Drosophila melanogaster: one gene and its partner. The protein of the gene in region 1 binds, or shares a complex with, the protein of each later gene. Each region holds a gene or a part of one and is shown on either strand. Other genes may lie near its edges. A codon is read from its position in the direction of its gene.

Region 1 (7,774 bases):
AACACGGTCAAAAGGTGGCTCACTTTTGGTCCAGTCCGCTAGATTCTATAGGTTATCAATGCAATAGGTGATTTATTAATATGATAAGAATTCGAAGTACTCACATTAGATGCGGTCGGTATAAGCTGGCTGCGGCAATTCTGAAGATCTTCTATAGAATCATCACCCATATGCCCATAGAACTGCAACTCCTCCGGAGAACCTCCGGCTGTGATGAGAGTATATATTTTGGTATCCATTGCTCCAACGGCCAGCAGTTGGTTGGCTTGCTGCCTGGAATTGTGATTATAAATAATTAGGTGTTTGCAGCGAAGAGCTCGAAGCGCCGACAAGTCACTGGTCAAAATCAAGCCAATCATTGGTTCTCCATCGGCAAGAGAATTAAATAAGTTCACTTTTTGGGGACCATCTAGCTGCGCATGGTCCAAACTATAACTCTGACAGTATCCCCTGACCAGGGTGAGGCAATCCTCACTGTTTGCCAAGATGCAGCACTTCTCGCCTCGCTCCGCCACTAAGTGATCCAGCATTACGTGTAGAAACTCGAACTTGGCGGAGTCGTAAAGTCCCATGCTTGGCCAAGGCGGCAGTATGGCGTCCAGTACCTCCATTATTTCCTTAAACACTGGATTCGTACCCAAAGTTTTTAGGAGCACAGGATGATCACATACAATTTGGAAGATTTCCTTCAACGTAGACGATTCCTGAAATACAAGTTTTTTGATTTGTTTATGCATGTAAATTGGTCTAAATCTATCTTACTGTTTTAGATGTTTGTGCATATTCAGAAACAAAGAGTAATATTTTTTTCTGCAGTTCAGCTGGAGTTAATAGACACAGATATTCCGATTGGGTGAACTCCTTGGTAGGGTTTTCTATCTTCAAAGTGTTTTGTTCATAGATTTTCTTTCCCATCGAAGTGCTGGAATCGGCGGCTGCATAGGAGACATGTTTATCTTCTCTATGTTGGCTAATTTCCAAATGCGGTGGAGCAAAGGCATCTGCCTCGCGCTTGATCTTCTTGAGCAGATGAGACCTAACGGGTGCACTGTCAGCAGGTGGTGGCGATGTGTCTGTACAACCATTCTGGGCATCTATTTTTTGGCACCAGTTGGCTATTTCCAACTGGCGCTGAATAAGGCACTCCTCGACGGTTTTAATCTCCTCCTGAATCTCGACATCCTTGCTGCCTACTTCCAGCTGATCGTTCTCCTGAAGTTGCCGCTGCTTAAAGTATGTCATGGTGTCCACAACCTTGCCGGTGTCATCCTTCAATGTTACTATGGATCCCGTGACCACCAGCGTTCCGTTGCCAGTCCACGTTTTGTGCTTTTTGGTGGTCTGATTACGCCAGAGCACATGGAAGATGCGGCTATCTTTGAGGGGATTCTCGCCCGCCCTGAATTCTCGAGGTCCCAGGCTTTGGGTGCCCCCTGAGGTGCCCCATTCGCTGGGTAGATTGTTTTTGGGCCAGGAGCAGGGTGACTGTGGTTCCTCTTTGGGAGGCGCCGCTTCGCTCTCTCGCTTTGCAGCGCGGCGCATGGAAGGAGCTTTGGAACGCCGCTTTATGGTGCTAAAGAAGAGGATTACCGGGTATAGTTCACCGTAAATACATAAGTTAATTTAAAAACTTTTGCTATCAACAAAATATAAATATACAAGGCGCAATCTATTTTCAAGCCACTTGTAAGTGTGGCCAATGAAGTGAACCTCGAAAGGTATTCCGAACCCTGGTCACACTGGCATTCTGCTGGTAGCCGGCTCTGGATGATTTTCTGATAGAAATCTCGCAGAGGCAGTGGTGTTTTTGTGAATCCCCTCAGCCACGATGGCGTTCCACTGGTGCGACAACAATCTGCACACCACCGTGTTCACGCCGCGCGACTTTCAGGTGGAGCTACTGGCCACCGCCTACGAGCGGAACACGATTATTTGCCTGGGCCATCGAAGTTCCAAGGAGTTTATAGCCCTCAAGCTGCTCCAGGAGCTGTCGCGTCGAGCACGCCGACATGGTCGTGTCAGTGTCTATCTCAGTTGCGAGGTTGGCACCAGCACGGAACCATGCTCCATCTACACGATGCTCACCCACTTGACTGACCTGCGGGTGTGGCAGGAGCAGCCGGATATGCAAATTCCCTTTGATCATTGCTGGACGGACTATCACGTTTCCATCCTACGGCCAGAGGGATTTCTTTATCTGCTCGAAACTCGCGAGCTGCTGCTGAGCAGCGTCGAACTGATCGTGCTGGAAGATTGTCATGACAGCGCCGTTTATCAGAGGATAAGGCCTCTGTTCGAGAATCACATTATGCCAGCGCCACCGGCGGACAGGCCACGGATTCTCGGACTCGCTGGACCGCTGCACAGCGCCGGATGTGAGCTGCAGCAACTGAGCGCCATGCTGGCCACCCTGGAGCAGAGTGTGCTTTGCCAGATCGAGACGGCCAGTGATATTGTCACCGTGTTGCGTTACTGTTCCCGACCGCACGAATACATCGTACAGTGCGCCCCCTTCGAGATGGACGAACTGTCCCTGGTGCTTGCCGATGTGCTCAACACACACAAGTCCTTTTTATTGGACCACCGCTACGATCCCTACGAAATCTACGGCACAGACCAGTTTATGGACGAACTGAAAGACATACCCGATCCCAAGGTGGACCCCCTGAACGTCATCAACTCACTACTGGTCGTGCTGCACGAGATGGGTCCTTGGTGCACGCAGCGGGCTGCACATCACTTTTACCAATGCAATGAGAAGTTAAAGGTGAAGACGCCGCACGAACGTCACTACTTGCTGTACTGCCTAGTGAGCACGGCCCTTATCCAACTGTACTCCCTCTGCGAACACGCATTCCATCGACATTTAGGAAGTGGCAGCGATTCACGCCAGACCATCGAACGCTATTCCAGCCCCAAGGTGCGACGTCTGTTGCAGACACTGAGGTGCTTCAAGCCGGAAGAGGTGCACACCCAAGCGGACGGACTGCGCAGAATGCGGCATCAGGTGGATCAGGCGGACTTCAATCGGTTATCTCATACGCTGGAAAGCAAGTGCCGAATGGTGGATCAAATGGACCAACCGCCGACGGAGACACGAGCCCTGGTGGCCACTCTTGAGCAGATTCTGCACACGACAGAGGACAGGCAGACGAACAGAAGCGCCGCTCGGGTGACTCCTACTCCTACTCCCGCTCATGCGAAGCCGAAACCTAGCTCTGGTGCCAACACTGCACAACCACGAACTCGTAGACGTGTGTACACCAGGCGCCACCACCGGGATCACAATGATGGCAGCGACACGCTCTGCGCACTGATTTACTGCAACCAGAACCACACGGCTCGCGTGCTCTTTGAGCTTCTAGCGGAGATTAGCAGACGTGATCCCGATCTCAAGTTCCTACGCTGCCAGTACACCACGGACCGGGTGGCAGATCCCACCACGGAGCCCAAAGAGGCTGAGTTGGAGCACCGGCGGCAGGAAGAGGTGCTAAAGCGCTTCCGCATGCATGACTGCAATGTCCTGATCGGTACTTCGGTGCTGGAAGAGGGCATCGATGTGCCCAAGTGCAATTTGGTTGTGCGCTGGGATCCGCCAACCACATATCGCAGTTACGTTCAGTGCAAAGGTCGAGCCCGTGCTGCTCCAGCCTATCATGTCATTCTCGTCGCTCCGAGTTATAAAAGCCCAACTGTGGGGTCAGTGCAGCTGACCGATCGGAGTCATCGGTATATTTGCGCGACTGGTGATACTACAGAGGCGGACAGCGACTCTGATGATTCAGCGATGCCAAACTCGTCCGGCTCGGATCCCTATACTTTTGGCACGGCACGCGGAACCGTGAAGATCCTCAACCCCGAAGTGTTCAGTAAACAACCACCGACAGCGTGCGACATTAAGCTGCAGGAGATCCAGGACGAATTGCCAGCCGCAGCGCAGCTGGATACGAGCAACTCCAGCGACGAAGCCGTCAGCATGAGTAACACGTCTCCAAGCGAGAGCAGTACAGAACAAAAATCCAGACGCTTCCAGTGCGAGCTGAGCTCTTTAACGGAGCCAGAAGACACAAGTGATACTACAGCCGAAATCGATACTGCTCATAGTTTAGCCAGCACCACGAAGGACTTGGTGCATCAAATGGCACAGTATCGCGAAATCGAGCAGATGCTGCTATCCAAGTGCGCCAACACAGAGCCGCCGGAGCAGGAGCAGAGTGAGGCGGAACGTTTTAGTGCCTGCCTGGCCGCATACCGACCCAAGCCGCACCTGCTAACAGGCGCCTCCGTGGATCTGGGTTCTGCTATAGCTTTGGTCAACAAGTACTGCGCCCGACTGCCAAGCGACACGTTCACCAAGTTGACGGCGTTGTGGCGCTGCACCCGAAACGAAAGGGCTGGAGTGACCCTGTTTCAGTACACACTCCGTCTGCCCATCAACTCGCCATTGAAGCATGACATTGTGGTAAGTACTTGTAATACGAATTATTTAAGATTTGTTAAATACTCTTCTTTAGGGTCTTCCGATGCCAACTCAAACATTGGCCCGCCGACTGGCTGCCTTGCAGGCTTGCGTGGAACTGCACAGGATCGGTGAGTTAGACGATCAGTTGCAGCCTATCGGCAAGGAGGGATTTCGTGCCCTGGAGCCGGACTGGGAGTGCTTTGAACTGGAGCCAGAGGACGAACAGATTGTGCAGCTAAGCGATGAACCACGTCCGGGAACAACGAAGCGTCGTCAGTACTATTACAAACGCATTGCATCCGAATTTTGCGATTGCCGTCCCGTTGCCGGAGCGCCATGCTATTTGTACTTTATCCAACTGACGCTCCAATGTCCGATTCCCGAAGAGCAAAACACGCGGGGACGCAAGATTTATCCGCCCGAAGATGCGCAGCAGGGATTCGGCATTCTAACCACCAAACGGATACCCAAGCTGAGTGCTTTCTCGATATTCACGCGTTCCGGTGAGGTGAAGGTTTCCCTGGAGTTAGCTAAGGAACGCGTGATTCTAACTAGCGAACAAATAGTCTGCATCAACGGATTTTTAAACTACACGTTCACCAATGTACTGCGTTTGCAAAAGTTTCTGATGCTCTTCGATCCGGACTCCACGGAAAATTGTGTATTCATTGTGCCCACCGTGAAGGCACCAGCTGGCGGCAAGCACATCGACTGGCAGTTTCTGGAGCTGATCCAAGCGAATGGAAATACAATGCCACGGGCAGTGCCCGATGAGGAGCGCCAGGCGCAGCCGTTTGATCCGCAACGCTTCCAGGATGCCGTCGTTATGCCGTGGTATCGCAACCAGGATCAACCGCAGTATTTCTATGTGGCGGAGATATGTCCACATCTATCCCCACTCAGCTGCTTCCCTGGTGACAACTACCGCACGTTCAAGCACTACTACCTCGTCAAGTATGGTCTGACCATACAGAATACCTCGCAGCCGCTATTGGACGTGGATCACACCAGTGCGCGGTTAAACTTCCTCACGCCACGATACGTTAATCGCAAGGGCGTTGCTCTGCCCACTAGTTCGGAGGAGACAAAGCGGGCAAAGCGCGAGAATCTCGAACAGAAGCAGATCCTTGTGCCAGAGCTCTGCACTGTGCATCCATTCCCCGCCTCCTTGTGGCGAACTGCCGTGTGCCTGCCCTGCATCCTGTACCGCATAAATGGTCTTCTATTGGCCGACGATATTCGGAAACAGGTTTCTGCGGATCTGGGGCTGGGAAGGCAACAGATCGAAGATGAGGATTTCGAGTGGCCCATGCTGGACTTTGGGTGGAGTCTATCGGAGGTGCTCAAGAAATCGCGGGAGTCCAAACAAAAGGAGTCCCTTAAGGATGATACTATTAATGGCAAAGACTTAGCTGATGTTGAAAAGAAACCGACTAGCGAGGAGACCCAACTAGATAAGGATTCAAAAGACGATAAGGTTGAGAAAAGTGCTATTGAACTAATCATTGAGGGAGAGGAGAAGCTGCAAGAGGCTGATGACTTCATTGAGATAGGCACTTGGTCAAACGATATGGCCGACGATATAGCTAGTTTTAACCAAGAAGACGACGACGAGGATGACGCCTTCCATCTCCCAGTTTTACCGGCAAACGTTAAGTTCTGTAAGTTATTTAAATCCCTTGCTAAGGATCAGAAATAATCCCTAATACATCTTACAGGTGATCAGCAAACGCGCTACGGTTCGCCCACATTTTGGGATGTGAGCAATGGCGAAAGCGGCTTCAAGGGTCCAAAGAGCAGTCAGAATAAGCAGGGTGGCAAGGGCAAAGCAAAGGGTCCGGCAAAGCCCACATTTAACTATTATGACTCGGACAATTCGCTGGGTTCCAGCTACGATGACGACGATAACGCAGGTCCGCTCAATTACATGCATCACAACTACAGTTCGGATGACGACGATGTGGCAGATGATATCGATGCGGGACGCATTGCGTTCACCTCCAAGAATGAAGCGGAGACTATTGAAACCGCACAGGAAGTGGAAAAGCGCCAGAAGCAGCTGTCCATCATCCAGGCGACCAATGCTAACGAGCGGCAGTATCAGCAGACAAAGAACCTGCTCATTGGATTCAATTTTAAGCATGAGGACCAGAAGGAACCTGCCACTATAAGATATGAAGAATCCATAGCTAAGCTCAAAACGGAAATAGAATCCGGCGGCATGTTGGTGCCGCACGACCAGCAGTTGGTTCTAAAAAGAAGTGATGCCGCTGAGGCTCAGGTTGCAAAGGTATCGATGATGGAGCTATTGAAGCAGCTGCTGCCGTATGTAAATGAAGATGTGCTGGCCAAAAAGCTGGGTGATAGGCGCGAGCTTCTGCTGTCGGATTTGGTAGAGCTAAATGCAGATTGGGTAGCGCGACATGAGCAGGAGACCTACAATGTAATGGGATGCGGAGATAGTTTTGACAACTATAACGATCATCATCGGCTGAACTTGGATGAAAAGCAACTGAAACTGCAATACGAACGAATTGAAATTGAGCCACCTACTTCCACGAAGGCCATAACCTCAGCCATATTACCAGCTGGCTTCAGTTTCGATCGACAACCGGATCTAGTGGGCCATCCAGGACCCAGTCCCAGCATCATTTTGCAAGCCCTCACAATGTCCAATGCTAACGATGGCATCAATCTGGAGCGACTGGAGACAATTGGAGATTCCTTTCTAAAGTATGCCATTACCACCTACTTGTACATCACCTACGAGAATGTGCACGAGGGAAAACTAAGTCACCTGCGCTCCAAGCAGGTTGCCAATCTCAATCTCTATCGTCTGGGCAGACGTAAGAGACTGGGTGAATATATGATAGCCACTAAATTCGAGCCGCACGACAATTGGCTGCCACCCTGCTACTACGTGCCAAAGGAGCTAGAGAAGGCGCTCATCGAGGCGAAGATCCCCACTCACCATTGGAAGCTGGCCGATCTGCTAGACATTAAGAACCTAAGCAGTGTGCAAATCTGCGAGATGGTTCGCGAAAAAGCCGATGCCCTGGGCTTGGAGCAGAATGGGGGTGCCCAAAATGGACAACTTGACGACTCCAATGATAGCTGCAATGATTTTAGCTGTTTTATTCCCTACAACCTTGTTTCGCAACACAGCATTCCGGATAAGTCTATTGCCGATTGCGTCGAAGCCCTCATTGGAGCCTATCTCATTGAGTGCGGACCCCGAGGGGCTTTACTCTTTATGGCCTGGCTGGGCGTGAGAGTGCTCCCTATCACAAGGCAGTTGGACGGGGGTAACCA
Region 2 (5,522 bases), on another chromosome or scaffold:
ACGTTATGGACATGCCCGTCGATCCCAATGAGCCCACATATTGCCTATGCCACCAGGTGTCCTATGGAGAGATGATTGGCTGCGACAATCCCGACGTGAGTATTCGATTTTGATGTACTCTGTGGTCAGTTCTAGATCTTTCACTCTACCATTTTAGTGTCCCATCGAGTGGTTTCACTTCGCTTGTGTTGGCCTCACCACAAAGCCAAAGGGCAAGTGGTTCTGTCCCAAGTGTACGCAGGACAGAAAGAAGAAATAGATGCAATCCTTTATGATTACTTAGAATACTACTTTAGATTAAGCACAAAATTACCTATTTAAATAAAGCCACGGCTACTATAACTTCAGTATTATATTTGTCAATTTATTTCCTAACTAATTTGTAGTTAAATAATTCCATATCATAAAAGATGTTTTCACAGAATATTTCTAAAGTTGGATTGATTAATTTCAATTCATCAATGCCCTTTAATTCGGAGTTTACAAAGTTTTTCAGCCCAAGGAAAAGAAAACTGCAAAAGTAGCGATTACCAAATACCGATTATATTCATAAGCCTTTTTCCTTCGCAAACTAGCACGTAGTCTACCTTAAACCTAGTTTTATCTGCCGTTTTACGTTTTTCAGAATTTGAAAGCGACTAGAAGATTCCAATATCGATTACACGCTTGTCTGTATTTGCAAGCGTACATACATTCATCGGTAAGTGTAGTACATATATGAACATTTACATATGCAGTTAACAAATACAACTGCCTAATCAAAGGAATCGGTGGAAAAGAAACAAAATATATATATATATATATGTAACATCGCCACTGCATTGAGCCAAAAAGTGGAAAGAAAAGCAATTAGACTGGTGCATTAGTTATCCCGTATCCACTCGGTAATCGCTCTCATCAAATACTCGTGATCGTGGTCGTGGTGTGCGTTCAGATTTTGCTATTCAGTTGGCTGCACCCCCTACTTCTTGGTCATGATCTTCAAGTACTCGAGGGCATTCTGGGCGGCATGCCGCTGGGCATCGGCAGCTGTTGGTCCGCTGCCGTGGCAAACGCCAACGGGCAGCGTGGACAGTTGAACCAGGCACTGGAACTGGCCAGAGAAGGTCTTCTCCTCTATGTCCACATAGGTCACCTCGAACTGGTTCTCCGTGGCGATTTCGCCCAGCAGCTTGATGTAATCAATCTTGTTGTTCTTCAAGCAAGTCTTCTGAAAAAAATACAAATGGAGTCGAATTAGCAGAGTCAAATTAAACTTTGAACTTTCAAGCAAGAACACTATTATTATAAGGATTGTGAGGGGTTAAGGCAAATATGTACTTTCGAAAGCAGGTTTTGAATGTTGGAAATATGTTTGTGATCGTTTTTGAATAAAAAGCGTTATTGGATTGAAATTTACCTGTAACTTAAGCAGTTTTTTGCCCGTTGCATTTTTTAGGGTCTTATGGAACTGGGATACTTTGTTACTGTGCTGCGTGGTCAGTGTCGGCACAGAGATATCTTTCAATTCACCATAATAATTTTCACTACTGCGGGGCTGTAAATAAGAGCGCAAAGTTTTTGGTTTCTTTTCTCCATTGCATTTCGCACACATTTGAAATCACACACGCCAATGGTGAGTTGAAACATATCACTTTTGTGTGGAAAAGGTGCTTTACAGATTCGTTCTTTAAAACAATCACCATGCCAAGGAACAATATGAAAAATGAAAAATGAAATAAGCCAATATAAACCATAAATAAAACCAGAAATATAAATAAGGTGTAAGCATTATGTTAATTATATGTATAATTATGTCAAAAACATTAGTTATAAAAACAAGGACAATAAAAAATATCAGATAGCACACTATAAAAGGGATGCTATAGTACTAAAACTCTAGCTAGATACATAATTTAAAAGATTATAGGGATATTTACAACTGAGGATTACTCTAAACGTTCTACATTACATTTGAGAAGGGATAGAGGACAAACGTATTAAATAATATATAACATTTATGACATATATTTGATAAAATCAATTTTTAAAATTTTATAAACTAAAGCATGGGACTGCATTCAAAATAATTGCACTAAAAATATTAGAAAATTGCTTGTGGGTTAGATCTTGATGAACTCAAAATCTTTAGAGACTTGCTCGTAACGATCGATGTCTTGAATGATACTCACTTCGCCCTCCAACTCGCCGCAGATGCTGTCGCTGATTTTGCCCGAATCGATGGGAGTCTCCTGCAGACGCATCCACATGCGGTGGGCGGCCAAGCGCTTGGCTATCTTCTTGCTTTTGCCCTTGCCCATCTCGCGGTAGTTGAGTATCGAGCAGGCGATCGTAAAGAGCCGCTCGTGGGGAAGACCCACTTCCGTTTCCGTTTCGTACGACGGCGGTGGCCATCGCCGTTGCATGCACATTTCCTGCAACCAGCCAATCGGATTACCAACGGTCTTGTCGCTGGCACTGCAAGGACATAATACAATAAATTGGATATCTTAGAATCATATCTTAGACATCAATAGAATAAAAACTCACTCTCCTCCGCCTGTGGCATTGGCATTGCCGTCTCCTCCGCTTCCGGCGACCGTGAGCCCAGTCACCGACGGACCAGCGGAGCTGCTAGGCGATTCCGGCAGCTGCGCGCCGATCAGCTTGTCGATGAGCGCACGGGCCGCCGCATGCTTGGCCTCCTTCTTCGATCGTCCTGCCCCCATGGCCGTGAAGGGCGTATCCTTGTCTTTAAAGGACACGCGAAACCGGAAGGTCGGCTCATGTATGGCGCCCTCGATCTGGACAAGTTCATAGCCGGGAGTAATTCCTCGTCGGCTTAGCAGCTCTTGCAGAATGCTGACGGGCGTCTTCATGGCCAGTCCATTGGCGTCCGTTTCGCTGACGAACTTTAAGGCCTCGTCGCTGGGCAATATTACGCCCATAAGGCCGACTCCACCTTGTAAGCCCGATCCGCCCGCCAAGGCAGGATCACCAACATCTGACAGCTGCAGCTGACCTGGCTGAGACAGCTGCGCAACCTGGGCGGATATCTTCTCCTTCTTGAGCTTCACATGGCGCTGCCCCAGCGGAGCACCCTTCACCGGACTACCACTGACGGCATTTCCATTGCCCAGGCCGACAAGGTTATTATAGTGCCGCCGTGGAGCAAATCCCGTCTGGACAGGATTGGGGGACGCCTGCTGCGGCTGGATGTGGAGGTTCTGTAGCTGCTGCGGCAAGCTGGAGCCGTGGAAATTCTCCTGGTCCATGGTGTTCTTGTTTTGCACGGTTTTCGGGAGGATTCGGTGTGTATCTGTTTAAAATTTCGGGGTAATTGTTGTTTGAAAAATCGATACATCACCGACGAATAGCGGGCGAAAAGTCCAGTTGACACTCTCGCCGAAATTCGGGGAGTACTCACGTTTGAATCGCGGTTTTAACTGTTTTTTATTTAATAATAATTTATTAATGGTTAGTTAATAATTCATTCTTAAATAAAAAATACAGCAAAATCCAGACGCACACACGAATTGTATGTATTTTACTGATATTTGTGGTTGCCAGACTTTTTTTGGATTGCCTACTTATTACACCCCCTACTCGTAGAGTAAATATGTTGAAATAAATGTATGTAACAGGTACAGAACATTTTTTTGTACAAATATATAATAAAATAGACCATGAATACTAATTTAACTCAAAAAAAAAAAAGAACAAAAATAATTTTTAATTTCTCCTGGCATGATCGTAAGTTTGTTTAAAAGTTTTATCGATAAGATATCAGAATGTAATCGAAATAGTTGAAGTGAGCGCCATATTTGAAATTGTTGTATAAGTATTTATTGCAGTGTTTGCTCCATTACTGTTGTACATATTATTAATAGATATATATTTAAACAACATTCAATCAAATCAAATGTGAATGCATGCGCGGAATTCTGTGGCTCGAAATGCACGAAATGTGGGACTCCCGTAGCAGTAAACGATAGTTTAAATGGTATTCTAGATCTGGCTGTGATCTTCCGTCCTAATCGTCGCTTAGAAAATCGTCATCGAGGTTCACATCTGTCGTATCAATGTTATCATCCAACGTAATTCCATCTATTTCCAAGTCCAGGTCGTCGTCGTCATCCGCAGCGGATGTAGGCTCGGCCACCTGGCTGCTAGAAACAACAGCTTGAGCGGGAACGTAAGCTGGCTTCACCTTCTCCTCCAAATGCTGGCCGGCGGCACCCTGCTCGGCGGCAAATAGTTCTTGCAGAGGATGACGTTCGCTATTCAGTGGTAGATTCGCAGCGAGGCGTGCCGGCGCCTTACGAGCTCGCTCCTCCTGCAAATGCTGCTCCACCCGCAGCGCATCGCCCAGGCCAGGGAAGAGATTTGTATACTGTGCCGGATCGGCCAGCGACTGTCCCGCCTTTTCGTTGACCTTTCCAAGCTTCTCCCGCCAAAGCTCTACGATCCTTGACATCTGGCTGGGCAGGTAGGTGCGGGCAAAGAACGCTGCCTCTGGCAACCGATTTGTCTCAATGAGAATCTCCAAGCAGCGTTCCACGTCTGAACGAAGGAACGCCGAGAGGAAAGCTAGATTGTGATGTCCCTGGGCCGAGCCAGCCGCACCCACCACCTCGAGCAGCTGGGCATCGCCGGAAGCTGTTGAGAGCAGCAATAGACCGCTTAAGTCGTTTGCCTTCTGCATGCACTCTTTAACCAGAGACATGTTGTTCTTGCTAGACGCCACATCTGCCAGCTGTGACCACTTCTGGGAGTTCTCCGACTCACGGGCCAGCTTTAAGGCGATTTCCAAATCTCCGATCTGTAAGGCCAAGTCAAACTTATGGTCGGCATCGGTAGAGACTTGCAGGGCCTGCGACTTAAAGCCCTGTTTCTCCAGAAAATGTGCCACCCTAGTGCGGTGCTCCTTGGGAATGGTCGGTAGCACAACGTCTGCGCGCTCAAAGTCTCTTCGCATAACCGCCGTCTGGTACTCCAGCACGGACAGCTGCAGACAGAAACTGATCACGTTCAACTCCTTATCGCCGAGGTAAATACGATTGTCCTTGGGCACGTAGCCCAGCAGATACATTGTGCGGTCTAAGTGGGATACTGTCACAATCTCGCCGCCCACGTAGTAGTTGATGCGGTTCACCGAGTTGGTATAGATGAAGCAGTCTCCCACCCAAAGTCCTGTTTTGACGCACTCCGAAACCTCGCCTGCAACACAAATGCATAATACAATACAATTATACTTTCTTGCTATTATGTGGTAAATGGAAATATTTTTTTAAATTTAAATTTAAAATAGTTTGCTCTCATGGTGAAATACAGAGTAAACCATTGTTGTATGCTCTCTATAGGAATATTGAAAGCGGAATCTCATTTGAGAAATCGTGTTTGAGACACGTATTCTAAAGATAAGATACATATTAGATAATTGGTATCAACTTACCCAGCACATTGAAAGCGCTCTCCACACCATCATCCTCCAGTCCCTCCTTGGTCTCTACGGCATTGGCAACCTGGGCAGTGTCCACCCC

What was found. The genes of interacting proteins can lie anywhere in the genome.
Region 2: the proteins of Dcr-1 (region 1) and loqs are in contact, whole or in part, in a cryo-EM structure (PDB 8DGJ), measured with the Drosophila melanogaster proteins. Residues at the interface, in NP_524453.1 of Drosophila melanogaster: His245 (codon at 2,561), Phe248 (codon at 2,570), Asp251 (codon at 2,579), His252 (codon at 2,582), Arg253 (codon at 2,585), Asp255 (codon at 2,591), Glu258 (codon at 2,600), Ile259 (codon at 2,603), His303 (codon at 2,735), Tyr306 (codon at 2,744), Gln307 (codon at 2,747), Glu310 (codon at 2,756), Lys311 (codon at 2,759), Lys313 (codon at 2,765), Arg320 (codon at 2,786), Leu323 (codon at 2,795), Cys326 (codon at 2,804), Leu327 (codon at 2,807), Ser329 (codon at 2,813), Thr330 (codon at 2,816), Ile333 (codon at 2,825), Gln334 (codon at 2,828), Tyr336 (codon at 2,834), Ser337 (codon at 2,837), Leu338 (codon at 2,840), Glu340 (codon at 2,846), His341 (codon at 2,849); in NP_609646.1 of Drosophila melanogaster: Thr358 (codon at 1,477), Gln359 (codon at 1,474), His360 (codon at 1,471), Ser361 (codon at 1,468), Lys363 (codon at 1,462), Val364 (codon at 1,459), Phe367 (codon at 1,450), His368 (codon at 1,447), Lys372 (codon at 1,435), Ile414 (codon at 1,120), Glu415 (codon at 1,117), Glu416 (codon at 1,114), Lys417 (codon at 1,111), Thr418 (codon at 1,108), Phe419 (codon at 1,105), Gln422 (codon at 1,096), Gln424 (codon at 1,090), Pro433 (codon at 1,063), Val434 (codon at 1,060), Gly435 (codon at 1,057), Val436 (codon at 1,054), His438 (codon at 1,048), Ser440 (codon at 1,042), Asn454 (codon at 1,000), Tyr458 (codon at 988), Ile461 (codon at 979), Met462 (codon at 976), Lys464 (codon at 970), Lys465 (codon at 967).

What each region holds. Positions count from the first base shown.
Region 1 is NT_033777.3:22,735,085-22,742,858, reverse strand, and holds the start of Dcr-1 (Dicer-1), read left to right. Parts: upstream 1-1,767; 5' UTR 1,768-1,828; coding exon 1,829-4,462; intron 4,463-4,514; coding exon 4,515-6,123; intron 6,124-6,180; coding exon 6,181-7,774. Other genes in the region: CG6985 (uncharacterized protein), read right to left, coding at 1-45, 105-704, 763-1,542. UniProt on the Drosophila melanogaster protein: Endoribonuclease which functions in microRNA- (miRNA) gene silencing and, independently of its ribonuclease III activity, also acts in the short interfering RNA- (siRNA) gene silencing pathway.
Region 2 is NT_033779.5:13,380,672-13,386,193, reverse strand, and holds loqs (loquacious), read right to left. Parts: upstream 3,543-5,522; 5' UTR 3,407-3,542; intron 3,299-3,406; 5' UTR 3,255-3,298; coding exon 2,530-3,254; intron 2,458-2,529; coding exon 2,172-2,457; coding exon of another isoform or gene 2,103-2,171; exon of another isoform or gene 2,029-2,102; intron 1,668-2,028; coding exon of another isoform or gene 1,538-1,667; coding exon 1,400-1,537; intron 1,373-1,399; exon of another isoform or gene 1,211-1,372; coding exon 962-1,210; 3' UTR 523-961; downstream 1-522. Other genes in the region: Ing5 (inhibitor of growth family member 5), read left to right, coding at 1-95, 158-259; beta'COP (coat protein (coatomer) beta'), read right to left, coding at 4,013-5,199, 5,435-5,522.